Linked DNA regions of Neurospora crassa OR74A. The protein of the gene in region 2 interacts with the protein of the main gene of each other region in a biochemical or structural test. Links are inferred from orthologs where the notes say so. Each region holds a gene or a part of one and is shown on either strand. Other genes may lie near its edges.

Region 1 (6,702 bases), about 850 kb from region 2:
ATACGCCCGGCCAAAAGGACAAGGAATAACCCGCCGCCACCACCACCACCACCACCACCCCCACCCCCGCAAAGAAGATTAGCGAACAGCAGGCATGCGGACTCTCAAGCAGTCCGCTCTTTTCGACAGGTGCTACGAGCTCCGGCTATAGATGATGTCGCGACCGCTGTGTCGGCCCAAGACGGCAAAGACATCTTTCCCTTGCTCATGCTCCCGTTTGAGGTTCGTGAAAAGATTTTGAGATATATACTGGTATCCGACAAGCCCGTCTATGTGAAGCGCCTCTGGACTGAACAGGTCCGTTCTATACGCCGCAATACCCGCGGACGAGGACACGGGGGTAATGGCGATAAAAGCGAAGAGGAATACACTAATAAAACGACCATTTTACGAACATCCCGTCAAATGCTGGCAGAGGGCAGCTTACTTCTTTACTCGAAGAATCAGTTCGTTTACCTATTGCGAGACCCTATTCACGCCAAGGTGGATTTCGCTTCCATGCTTAAGGAAGCGCAGAAGTCCCCGAAGAAAATCGAAGGTCGTGACAAACGTAAGCGTAAAGCAGACAGCCAATACGGCTTATACGAAATCAACATCGCGAAGTATGGACACTTGATGCGACATTTAAGTATCGAACTCGAGCCGAACAGATCCGGCAACCAATACAGGGAGCTTATGGAGCAGGCCCTTTATGTCTTGACTAGCTCCGATAGAAGGGGCAGACACTTGCTTGCTGGCCAATTGGTGGATGGAAAAACCCCAAGAATTTTCCTCCACACTTTGACAATCACCGTGTCACCTGAAAACGATCAGGGTCGCCCTGGCAGCGGATCAGTTTCTAAGAACAGCAGCCAAGGGTCGAGAAGCCCGTATTCGAGCGCCATCGAGCTGTTCGATAGTAGATCACTCGTTATGCATGCGCTCTCCCGCATTGACACCCAATTTCTTCGAATCAACATGCATATCGATGAAGGCCCTTCTAATGAGGGGGATGACGAATTTGCGGTCAGTACCGAAAAGCGTCATCTCGAGACGACCATCGACATGCGATTCCTTCCGCGTCGTACCAAGCAGCTCGAGTTGTCCGAGAACGGTGATTCGTTTTAGGTAAATGATCACTTGATGAAGGAGCAGCGGGCCAAGAGGGGCGAAGAGGCCGAGACAGCACTGCAGACTCTCAAGAGTCGTATGTATGAGGGGTTCGAGAATCCGGATCAGGCTGTAGCCGACGGACTTTGGGAGGACAATAGCGCCGCCAATATGCGTCGCAAAAAGGAGAGGGCGGAGTTCGAGGCCCGTCTCGAGGGTGATGCTCGCCGCCAGAATGATGGCGAGGAAGAGTCCAGCTCCATTGACGACAGCGACGAAGATGAGAATGATGACGATGATTACGAGAGTCGGCCAAAGAAGAGGAAGCTGACGACTCGCGGCCGTGGACGGTATGGAGATTCGTTGCTCATTTCTGTAAAACGTGTTGCTGATGGATTGGTTGTTTCCAGGTCTTGAATCCCTCCCTTTTTAGTTCTTATTCTTCTTATCATCGTTCTTCCGACATTGATATTCTGAGTATGTTATCTCCTCAAAATGGCGTCGCACAAGAGCGAATGAGTTTCATTGGGTCAAGAAGCCCTGATGAAACTTCTTATCGGCGTCGGAATTGTAACATCATCATCGCTGATGGGAGTTGAGGCCCTGTTAGCCAACGTCTTCGACTGCGTCCTGGTCAGCATACGGCAATGGGAGAAAGGGCAAGTGAGGGATTTGCAGGCTGAGCAGTTGGGCAAGACTATTTTTGTGGAAGGAGGAATTTGGTAAATAAAGGGGGGAACTTGCTGGTTGGTTCATGGTTTTCTTATGCACAACCCGGGAGCTATTGAAGTGAAAACGGGCAGAATGCTTTTATTCTTTTAGGTGGAAGAGACATCTTTAACGACGGGCATCTCCTGTCGCATTGTATATTATGTATGCGATGACAAGCAGCCAAACGAGGGGAGTGATCAATTTTATGCTTGCGAACATTCTGGTGGTCGATTGAGTCCAATGGAAGGATTTAAGGAGTGGACAAATGGGCACGACAATACCAGTCACACAATAGCACCATTAGGAGCTGAAGCGTCTGAGCCCGATGTAGCAAGCAGTTTGCATGACCTTGATAGCTTTATTACAAGTGCGTTGATCTTTGACATTGACACTTGGAGAATTCTCATCCTGTTCCAGATCGTCTAACAGATCATGTATATCTCCTGGCACCTGACACCAAGCCATCACTCCCTCGCCTGTAGTACCTCAAACAAAAGACTCCCTAATTCCCTCCCTATGCCAGACACCTAACGCTGAAAGCGAAGAACATGACAAAAATGTAATAAATATAACTCGTCACCGCCTCTATGTTTCCCCTCTCACTCACCACCCACTACCCCAATCTATGGATATCATCTCACATTCACTCAGCGACAATCTTCACCCTTTCCACATCTAGCGTCTCCGTGTCCACGAGCACCACCTCTCTAGTCTCCGAGAACGAGGGCACGGCAATCAACCGCACTGCTTGCCCGTCCGGTCCGTGGATCACTTTCGTTCCAAACTCTGGCTGGCAGCCGACGAAGAAGAGGTGGGGACACTCTTTGATTACGAAGGGCTCGTCTTCTTGGAAGGGGTAGGACCCTGTTTGATCAGATAGGTTAGTTCGTTGCTAATTCCGAACGGGGAAGGGGGGATGGAAATGTGAATCGAAGTCCAAGGATAAAGGGGAGGAAAAGGAGTGCTGCAAAAGGGAAAAGCAAAACTCACAAAGCGTATCCGGTGCCGTTGGCGCCACACACCTCCACCTGCACATGGCCTCCATCATGCCCAGTCTATCCTCACTCTCCACATACTTGAAAACATCATCCAGATTCTGTCCGCCTGTGCCCAGCACCCGCCACCCCTCGATCTCGCCCTCCCATGGATTCGTCACGTTGTCGAACCACCCCGGCTCTTCTTCCCCTGGCACATCTCTGTCCTTGCCCGCCCCCGCTTTTGGGGGTGGCATGTACGTCCTCGACTGCGGGAACATGGCCGGGTGAATCGGCTGTTGCGGGTAACTCGCGTTGGCGGGGTCGAGCGCGCCCGGGAGCAGGGTGACGGGCATGGTGGGGAGGAGATCACTCAGAAAGCTGTCCAACAGTTGGGAGGGAACCGGGTTGTAGGAGCTGCTGTCGTAGCCGTATTTTTTGATTTGTGGTTGGAACTTGTTTGTTACGGTGGTGGTGTCGAAGGCAGCCGCGGGTTTGGCCTGTTCGGCCGCCGTCGTGGAGATGGAGTTCCCCGCTATGATGAGGCGGGTGATGTGTGAGAGCTCGTCGCGTTGGACGGAGGGATCGAGCGCTTCGCCGAGGAGATACTCGAGAAGCAGGTTGAGTTCCATGGCGTAGGAGGTGTCGGCGTTGGAGAACTCGAGGCCGGAGACGAGGGCAATCTTTTTAGAGGAGGGCTTGTGGGACTGCCTGGAGAAAGAGGCGTCCATCATTTCGACGTCTTCGGAGGAGTCTGCTTCCTTTTTGCCTTTTGAGAGCGACCAGCGCTCGGGCTGTGGTGGTAGTTCGGCGAAGAGGAGGTCGATGACTTCGAATTCGCCGTTGGCGTTCTCGGTGCCCATTACCGCGACGATGCAGCCGGTCACCATGAAGTGGTTTTGCAGAGCGTTGCCGACAAGACGGATGCGGCCGGAGTCGTCTTCGAGCATTACCGAGTCTTCGCCGTTGCCGGAGTAGTAGTGGCCGACCGAGGTGGGAGCGGAGATCCAGCGCTATAACATCATTGTCAGCTGCCTGGTGTCCACCAAAGGATAGGCTGAAACTCACATCCTTGGAGACATCCTCGAGGATTGAGGGCTTTAGAGGCATGTCCATATATACTGTTCCAGCTACCCAGCATAGTTCTCCCTGGCGAACGTCTAGGACACGCTCGACCCTCTTGACCTTCTCACCACCAAGCACTGTTCCCTCCCAAGCGGCGCTGGCGGCTGCCTCGACGGCGGGCCTGATCTTTGTAAGACGCAAAAAGTAAATATCGGCATATTGTTGTTGATAGGGACGGGTTTTTTCGAGTTTGAAGGTATGAAGGGGCTTGTAGTTGGTGATCTGGCGCTGGAGAGCCTCGGGCGCATCGCCTCTTCGTGAAGTTGGGTTGTTAGCTGATGATCGCCAGTGGAAGATGGATGATCCACTGCTACTCACGAGGGCTTCTGTAGCAAACCGCTACCGAGAACTTCGTCCAAGGTGACCATCGTATGATTGATACTGACAATGGCTCAAGATGTGAGAACGACAAAAGCAATTGGTGACTTATTCATGTGCTGCCCGACTCGGAAACTGACTTCAAGGGACGAAACTCGACGACGCGCTTGACAATTTCGAGACGCGTAGCTCCAGTGGGTTCAATTAAGCCAGGTACATGACCGGTACTACTCTATACTAGTATAGTTTACATAGTAGCGGCGCTTCAGCACTGTGACCCTCACAGGAACCGTCGGCCCCGCTATAAAGTTCCGATAAGATAGGGGAACGTGGGGTAGCTAGAACACTCCAGACCCCTGCGCTGCAAGGCTGGACAGAAAAAATTGGATGGAGTCTTGGATTTGGCATGGCCTTGTGGTGTCCGCTGCAAAGTAAACATCCACACTCTCCTCCCGACGACGCCTGTTTCACGGTAATCTAAGCCAATCTGACTTTTACTTGTCAATTGATAGTATTCAGCCTGCCCATACCGAACAGCGACTACCCAATTCACATAATATCACAGCACAGGCACCGCCATGGACCACCCTACCGAATCAGGCGCCCAGGTCCGGGTGACCTTCACCACCCAGGAGGAGGACATCCAGCTCGATGAGAGCAAGCGCCAGCTCCTTGTCCCCGCCGACATCCGCCGTTATGGCCTCTCCCGTATTCTCAACTCCGAGTCCATGCTCGACACCAACTCGATCCCCTTCGACTTCCTTGTTAACGGCAGCTTCCTCCGCGGCAGTCTTGAAGAGTACCTCAACGCCAACGGCCTCTCGCTCGAAACCAACATCACCCTTCAGTACGTTCGCAGTTTGATCCCACCAACATACGAGGCCAGCTTTGAGCACGACGACTGGGTCAGCGCCGTCGATGTTCTTTCCGCTACTTCTCCCGCGGGCCGCTGGTCCGGCGACAACTTTCAGCGCGGCCAAGATCGCATCCTCTCCGCCTCGTACGACGGTCTCCTCAGGATATGGGACGCCTCTGGAAATGTGATTGGCACCTCGCCCTCGGGCAGCCACGGTGGTCACACTGCCAGCATAAAAGCTGCCAAATTCCTCTCCAGCACTCAGATTGCCTCGGCCGGCATGGACCGCACAGTTCGCGTATGGAAGTACACCGAGTCGGGCGAGTCGTACGAGCGTCGCGGCGAGCTGAAGCCCACTCTCGAACTGTACGGCCACACCTCCTCGATCGACTCGCTCGAGGTTGACGGCGCCTCGAAGCGCATCCTCACTGCCTCCGCCGACGGTTCCATCGGTTTCTGGACCACCTCCAAGGCGTCCGCGCCCGAAGTCTCCGATTCCTCGCTCCTTCCCGGCGCCCACACATCCAAGCGCCGCAAGCTCGCGACCTCCGTCACCGCCGCCCAGCGCGGCCCGCTCGCCCTTATGAACATCCACAATGCGCCCGCCACGGCCGCCGTCTTCGACCCCCGCGACCGCACCGTTGCCTACTCTGTGTCGCAGGACCATACCGTCAAGACCATCGACCTGACCACCTCCAGCGTGGTCAGCACCTTCACAACCTCGCATGCGCTCCTCTCTCTCGCTGCCCTGCCGCGCTCCTCGGCCTCGGCGCCCCTTCTCGCCTGCGGCACCTCCGCCCGACACATTACCCTCGTCGACCCGCGCACCAGCACGGCCGCGACGAGCGTCATGACGCTGCGTGGGCATGCCAACAAGGTGGTCAGTCTGGCGGCGAACCCGGAGAACGAGTACTCACTGGTTTCGGGCTCGCACGACGGGACGTGCCGGATCTGGGATTTGCGGTCGGTCCGGCCAGCGACCAAGGACGAGGGCGGCATGGGCAGCGTCAGCGAGCCCGTGTACGTTATTGATCGCGAGAGCCAGCAGGGCAAGAAGAAGAAGAGCAGTGTGACGGGCGACGGGTGCAAGGTGTTCAGCGTGGTGTGGGATCAGCTGGGCATCTTCAGCGGTGGTGAGGATAAGAAGGTGCAGATTAATAAGGGGAGGGGTGTGAATGCCGAGTAGAGGAAGAAAAATGGTCGGGAAAGAGGGGGTTGTTGATGAAGAGAAGGGAAGCAGCAGAACTTGGTTGTTATGATATACCCAGGATAGATAAAATGGAATGTGAATACTGTACAGGATATTTTTGTGATATCTGCAGGGACGAGGCCAAGAACAGCCGTGACAGATTCTTTCTGAACTAAACTGTACGCGAAAACTGTACTGACCTGGAGCATAGACTAGATGGCTTCTGCAGAGCCCAGTCAGGTTGTTCTGAGGATTATACAAGGTTCATCTACCAACGTCTAAAAGTAGCCAAGTCGGTCTCGGGGTATAGGTGCATCGTCGACATCTTTCCTTTCTTGTTCAGCACTCGACCAGCAGCTTGAGAGCCGGCTCAGTGACTTCTCGACATCTTCCTCAACCTCTCCACCTCTTCCTCATCAACCGTCGCTTGACTGCTGCTA
Region 2 (6,731 bases):
ACCAGTACGATACCTTTACATTTCGTTTAGACAGCCGTTACTTATCCCATCCTTCGTAATACATGTTGGCCGCATACTCAATCATCCCATCCCAAACCTTATAAACCCATACCTACCCTTTTCACCACATATCCTTTTCACCACATAGCAGCCGCATCGAAATCAAACCTCTGCAACTCCTTATTCGCATCTTCCAGATCCTTCTTAGCCTTCATCCGCATGTAGAAAATCGGACAGTCCTTGCTACTGCAGATAACCTCGCAGTGCATCGACCCCTGACACCTCTGACACTGGGTCCAGAGCCTGCCGAATCTGACCTCCAGATCCGACACCCTATCGAGCGTCTTTTTGTACAGCTCACCCACTCTCGGAGCATCATCCGCACAGACAGCGCCCTGGCTCTCCTCTTTGCCCGTCAGCGGCTTCTTGCAGCCCATGCAGGTCTGCGTCTTCTTGGCGAACTTCATGAGTCCCCCGACGGTCGGGGCGGCGACTGAGACGACGCGGGTGTGGTCGCCGTGCAACAGCGACTTGGCTTTGGTCTCGCCCAGGATAGGCTCGAAGATGCGGCCCAAAGGCTTGGCTAGCTGGTTGTCCAGATAGTACTTGGTGTCGATGGGCACGTTGTGCTCGAGCACGTAGATGGGGTCCTCGGAGCGTTCAAAGTTCTTGGAGCCCGTGGCGCCTTTTACCATGACGTAGGCGACGCGGTCGCCGAGCCCCGGGGCAGAACCGGCATCGCGCTTCTTCATGCGCTGCGCGAGCTCGACGTGGGCTTGCTTGGCATCGTAGTTCTCTTTGGTCAGGGCCTTGGTGATGACTAGCTTAGACATGTCGATCTTGTTTTGCAGGAGGTCGGCGATGGTGTCTTTGACATATCTGGGGGTAGTAAGTTAGCGCGATGTTGGCAATGGCAAAAGGGATAAATTTGGCAAACTCTTACGCTTGGGCTCCAGGGACGTCTTGGTCGATAAGGATCATCCTAAGAACCTTCTCGATAACTGTCTGAACTAGCAAGCAGTTGTCACGACGAACCGTCTCGATACCCTTGGTGTCCATCTTATCGTACTTCTCAGGCTTGGTCCAGTACAGACCCGCATAACGCTTCTTGTTGATGAGGAGGTACGGGAAATAAACCTTTTCGAACTCCAACTTGATGGGCTTGATGAACTTGCCCGAGACATACTCGGAGGCATCTTGGCCGAGCTTCATGGCCTCAGCAAGATCCTTGGTTCCAAACTTGACCATGACGGAATCGGTATCACCGTAGATGACCTGAGCGTCGTGAGAGTAGCCATTGGCAATGGTATACCGCTCCTCCACCTCCTTTTTGGTCCTTTCGATCATTTGACGACCGAAACTGGTGACACTACTGGCGATCTCCAAGCAAGGAAGCTTGCCGTTTGTGGCTCCCGTCAAACCGTAGACGGAGTTGGCGCTGACCTTCAAAGCCAACTGACGACCGTTCAGCACAGCCTTCTTGAATGGGTCCTTCTCTACGGCCAACTCGCGCTTCGCTTGCTTTCTGGCAGAGAGCAACTCCTCCAGAATCTGTGCCAAAAGACCCTTCCTCTGCTTAGTCGTCACAAACATGTCTCCGTTCGGAGTAACAATGTAGTCCTCGTCCTTCTTCAAATCCCATCTCTCGATGTCCCGCTTCTTGATGAGTGTTGTGTAGCAAAGGTTGTGCGCCTGCATGATACTGGGATACAGTGAAGCAAAATCGAGAGTCGCAATTGGCACATCGTAATAGCCTCTTGTAGGCTCAATGACAGTAGCACCTTCGTACTGCTCTTCCGAGGACTCGGGACGTAGGTTGGGAATGACCAGCTTCTGCTCCAAAGCCTTGCGGAAAAGCTGACTCAAGAACTTGACTTGCTGACCTCTGGCCAAGAGGAAGTTGAACGGCACACCCGTGACTCTTGCCATTTCCGTGTAGTTTTCTAAACATGACAGCTTGTCCATCAGCCTTTGCGGCAAGTAGGCGTCCTTCAAGCAATAAAGTGCAAGACGTCGCCTGGATTCTGGTGTGCCTTCGAACAATTCTGTGATCATGGAATGATGAACGTCTTCTTTTTGCTCCCCTAAGAAGTGCGAGCAGACAGAATTAAGGGTGTAACTCCTCAACTGGTAGTCGCGTTGTACGAGTTGAAGCATGTCGAGCTGAAGCCGTCCGTTGGTATTTGTAGCCTTGGTGTCACGGTTGCCCATCTGCTTGCTAGAGAAATTTGTCTCCTTTGCGACAGATCTCACCCTGGTACGAGACCAAAAGTCGAAATCCTTGACTTTGAGATGTTTAGCTCGGTCGAGAAGGTAGGGGAAATCGAAGTTGGCGATGTTGTAACCGATGATGATATCCGGATCGACCTGTTCCAGGAAGTTGCGCCACTCGCGGAGCATGTCCTCTTCCCTGTCAAAAGAAAGAATTTGAGTAGCCACGATGGGGCTAGTGGTGTCAAGACAGAACACATTACGGACAAATGGCTTCTTCTCTCCGTACTTTGTGACAATGTTTGCGATCTGAATGACGGAGTCGTGTTGCGGTTCGGGAAAGATGCCCTTGCGGCCAGCGCACTCGATATCGAAGGAGAGAATTCGAAGAGGTGCCATCTTGGACCATTCGCCAACGGGCTTGTGTGCTATTAGGTCCCGGTAGCTCATCTCGGCTTCGATCTGACAGTTGGAATGTTTATCGTTGACAAGCTGATAGCTGCCTGCGGGAGCCTCCACCCAAGACATACCAGCAATCTGGCGTTTGTTAGCTTAGGGAATCTTGGGGGTAGTGTGAAGAGGCGACATACCGAGCAGTCAACCATGAACCGAAGCAAATACTGGATATCATCAAAGGTCATGATAGACCCATCGCTCTTCCACATGCCCTTCCAGTTGGCTTTGTTCGTTTCGATCAATCTTCGAACTCTGGGAAGAAATTTGGGGTCGTTGACGGTGACCTTGATATAAGGGTTTTGTGTGTTGCCTTGGAAGCCGTACATGTTCTCGCGCATCGTCAGGGTGACCGAATGGATGGCCGGTGTGGGCATGGCGAGCTGCGTTTCGAGGAATGCTCTGTACTTGGGACAATCATCGGGACCAAACGATACAGGGGCTTGAACGTAGAGGTAGTGTTTGAAGTCTTTGACATGGAGGAGGACCGAGTTTCCATTCTCGGTAACACCAAACAGCTTAATGGTCGCTTGGCCGCCGTGGAGGAATCCCTCTTCAGCCTCAATGGACTGGAAGCAGAGACTGTCTGTAGCTGGGTTGTAGGTCGCTGGTAGTGGCGGGCGTTCCCAAGCTTGATCCTTTTCCGAGTTATTCTGTTTCAGATCGGAAATATCCTGGCTCATACGCTCAAGCACCTCGCTCTCGAAGGCGCTCTTGGGTTGGGTAGAGGGTATCCTGCCCTTGCCGTCATTCTTGAAAGTTCGGAAGCGGGAAGAGGGAAGGACATCGTCGAGGCGTCTTTTCTTGGCTGAATCTGATGAAGCGGCGGGAAGATTGTGAATGTTGCTGCGGGCGCTTGACGCCTCGCCAAACGCGCGCTTCTGGGGCAACGCTGAGGGCGCCATTCTGGCTCTTTGGAAGTTGAGTGCCTGTGGTAGAGGTCGGCTAGGATAGGATCCACAAAGATGGACGTCTTTCAGGACATGGGGTTGTTGTCTTTTGAAAAATTCAGTGTCGTCTTTGGCGAAGAACAAAAAGAAGAGCAATGATACAGCCAAAGAGAATACGTCTGGTTGGAGTGAGGGGACGGAGAATGTGAATTGTAAATGGGATGAAATGGGAACCGCGACTATACTACGCGACGAACGTCTTTGTTACGTGACAAGCACCCACTTTTACATCGCGCCGTTAATTACCTGTAACTGCACCTCTTTAACCCCTGCAGATAGGACGAGGTACCTCTTGCATTAGTACCACCTAGTCAAAGCACCGTTTGCGGACAACGTCTTTCTATCGACGAACCCGAGTGACTGTATCGGTATTAGTAGCCCATTCGAACAACTTCAAACACATCCTCGAGCTTGCAAATGGCAACTAGAGAACTGGATGATGCCGCCCGGTTGCTTCAATCGAAGCACGTGAGCTCGCGTCAGACCCTAACCCTGTCATCCTTCACTTCACGTCTCTCGCGGTGCGGCGACCGGAGTATGCCCCGCGTCTTCTCTCATACCACTTACAACTTTCACCAAGTAATTGCATAACCTTACATCACTTGTGATTCTCCCTTGGAAGGTCAGGCAACAAAGTCTGTAAAGTGTCGCTCCCTCGAATAGATGAAGTCTACCTCAATAACATCCACCGTTTAACTTGACTGAACTGCCGAACCCAAAAGTCATACCAACCAACGCATCTACTACAACCTCAAGACCAAGAGACAACATCCACAGAAATGGCCGACCGTCGTCCCGGGCCCAACTTCAAACCCGCTGCTCCCTCGCGAATCGCGCCTCCTTCACACACCGGACTTTCCTCCGCCGGAGCAGGAGCGGGAGCGGGAGCAAGAGTCGGAGCATCAGTCCGCCGCAACCTGTTCCAACAGCAGCCACAATCACAACCAGCTCAGGCATCCCGACAACCCACTGCTGCTCCAGATAGTACTCAGTCTCAAGGACACTTTCCATCCCAACAATCCTTTCAGTCTCAGACCTCTCAGACATCTCACTCTCAGATCCACCAGAGCAACTTTCAGTCACACTTACCTCACCAACAAGCTTCTTACCTCACCCAACCACCTTCTTCCTACTCCGACTACTCCTACCCCTACCCCCAAGATCTTCTCAGTCAACAATACCAACAACCAGTACCACAACACCACGAAGAAGACACCAAAATGACCTCTTCACAAGAATCCCCACCCTTGACCGACGCCCTCACAGACCCCAACCTCGAAATAGTCGTTCGCGACAAAGAAACTGGAGAAATCGACTTGGGCCACGACCCTCCCACGCCGCCCTACGACGAGGAGATGGAAACGATCATGGAGGCCCGAATAGAGCAGGAGAAGGAAAGGGAGAGGTTGGCGGACGCGGTGAGGGAGTGGTTGACGGAGCACGAGGCAGAGGGGAGGGGGGATGTTGGGCCAGAGGGGGCTGGAGGAGGGGGAGGGGGAGGAGAAGGTGCTGGTGGGGGAGGAGGAGGTGGGATGGATACCGAAGGTATGTTTTTCAAGCTTCAGTTGCGCCGCCATGGGCGCTACATGTGAGGAAGACGGCTGACGACTGAATGTAGATCTCCTGGAGGCAGTCAAGGCGAGCTTGAAAGCCAAGGTCGCGGCGTTATCGGAAGATAATTGGATGTTTGAGAGGGAGGAGGTACTTCATTTGCACTGACTGATTGGGGAGGGATGATTGAGTGACGAGCGGCACGCATTTGTTGACACGACTGGATTGCATTCATGGTAACGAGGCTGGTTGGTAGTTGGGTCTGGTTCCTTCTCCGAGTTCTTTTTTCCAGTTACTACTTGGGTTTCTTTCCCCCTCTGGATTGTTGTATTATCTTAGCATAACCAGCGTATACCCCCCTATGATTACCATTTTCACCTTTAACAGGATCCTAGTAGACTATGAGCAGAGCACAAAGCGAGAAGAAAAGCATACGTCTGTGCCTTTCTTTACTGAAACCCATCCCTCTTCACCATTTCTTTTCTTCTCAGTCCAGTCCCTCAGCAGTAGGCGCCGCCTCGACCCTCCTCACTGGCGGCCTGCCACCAGCAGCACCCGCACCACCACCACCGCCACCGCCGCCGCCGAACAAGCTACCCATCATATCCAGCAATGGGTTAGACTGCCGTGGCCTTTGAATACCAAAGTACATCTCGGCAATCATCTCCAGCGCGCCGTCCCACGCTCCCCCCAGCTCGGCAAGATTGCTCGCATATTTCGTCTTCAACTGCCTGAACAGATCCGGGGTTCCCTTCTGCACCGCCAGCAGCAACAGTCCCAAGAGATTCAGCAGCGGCAAGCTCGGGAAGATGCGGATATCACTACCCTGGGAACTCTCCACGTTTTGCACGCCGAGCGACGAGTTTTCGGCCGTGAGTGCCGAGACAAAAGCGCGGTATGACGTGTTGGCCGCGCGGACATTAGCCAGCAGCAGATACGGCAGGATGGCGCGGGCGGCGAAGAGGGCGGCCGTGTGCGGTTGCTCGCTGTCCTTGTACCACTCGTACTCCATGCGCGTCAGCACTTCGGCCGACTCTTTGGTGCCTAGAACCAAATGCTTCTCGGCCTCATCCGTCTCGTGCTTCTCGGCGGCTAGGGTGCCGACAACGTGGTGCAGCTCCGGGTCGCCGGCAGGGTAGTCGCCAAACTTTCGTGACCAGCTGTTCAAATGAAAGATTTAGTACCTCTTCTTGCTTTTTTCAATTTTCGTTATATCTTGTCCTCCTTTCTGTGCAAACCCGCGTTACAGATGGAAGAAAGAAGACTTACTCAAAAACCTCCTTCACAAACTTCTTCCTGGTCGGCTCTTCAAACTCAAACAGCCTCAAACACGTCAACAGCCGCCCGCGCGACGCCGCATCCGGCTTGACTTTGCCTTGCTTGTAAACGTCCACCAGCAAGATGGCGAGATCGCCACCGGCGCCGCCCGCTCCGGCCTTCAGCAGCGCCTGCGACACGCTGGACAGAATGTCGATGGCGGCCGGCCAATTCTCCGCTTTTGTGTACCGCGCCGCAACCAACCTCGTCTCCTGCCCGGCCTCGTACTGCTCCTCAAACTGGCCCTCG

The links.
Region 1: the proteins of pold-1 (region 2) and NCU03763 form a complex in vitro, tested with the Saccharomyces cerevisiae proteins (2 studies listed by BioGRID). The link is inferred for Neurospora crassa OR74A from reciprocal best matches to the Saccharomyces cerevisiae genes POL3 and POL31.

Annotation. Positions count from the first base shown.
Region 1 is NC_026505.1:2,336,835-2,343,536, forward strand, and holds NCU03763 (DNA polymerase delta subunit 2), read right to left. Parts: upstream 4,408-6,702; 5' UTR 4,268-4,407; coding exon 4,218-4,267; intron 4,153-4,217; coding exon 3,843-4,152; intron 3,788-3,842; coding exon 2,791-3,787; intron 2,665-2,790; coding exon 2,444-2,664; 3' UTR 2,131-2,443; downstream 1-2,130. Other genes in the region: NCU03762 (hypothetical protein), read left to right, coding at 1-1,005, 1,108-1,506; NCU03764 (microtubule associated protein, variant), read left to right, coding at 4,796-6,259; NCU03765 (3'-5' exonuclease/helicase), read right to left, coding at 6,633-6,702. UniProt on the Saccharomyces cerevisiae protein: DNA polymerase delta (DNA polymerase III) participates in chromosomal DNA replication.
Region 2 is NC_026505.1:3,184,256-3,190,986, reverse strand, and holds the start of pold-1 (DNA polymerase delta catalytic subunit), read right to left. Parts: upstream 3,794-6,731; 5' UTR 3,570-3,793; coding exon 2,802-3,569; intron 2,749-2,801; coding exon 944-2,748; intron 880-943; coding exon 138-879; 3' UTR 1-137. Other genes in the region: NCU01191 (hypothetical protein), read left to right, coding at 4,394-5,159, 5,233-5,333; NCU01190 (DUF410 domain-containing protein), read right to left, coding at 5,653-6,325, 6,435-6,731.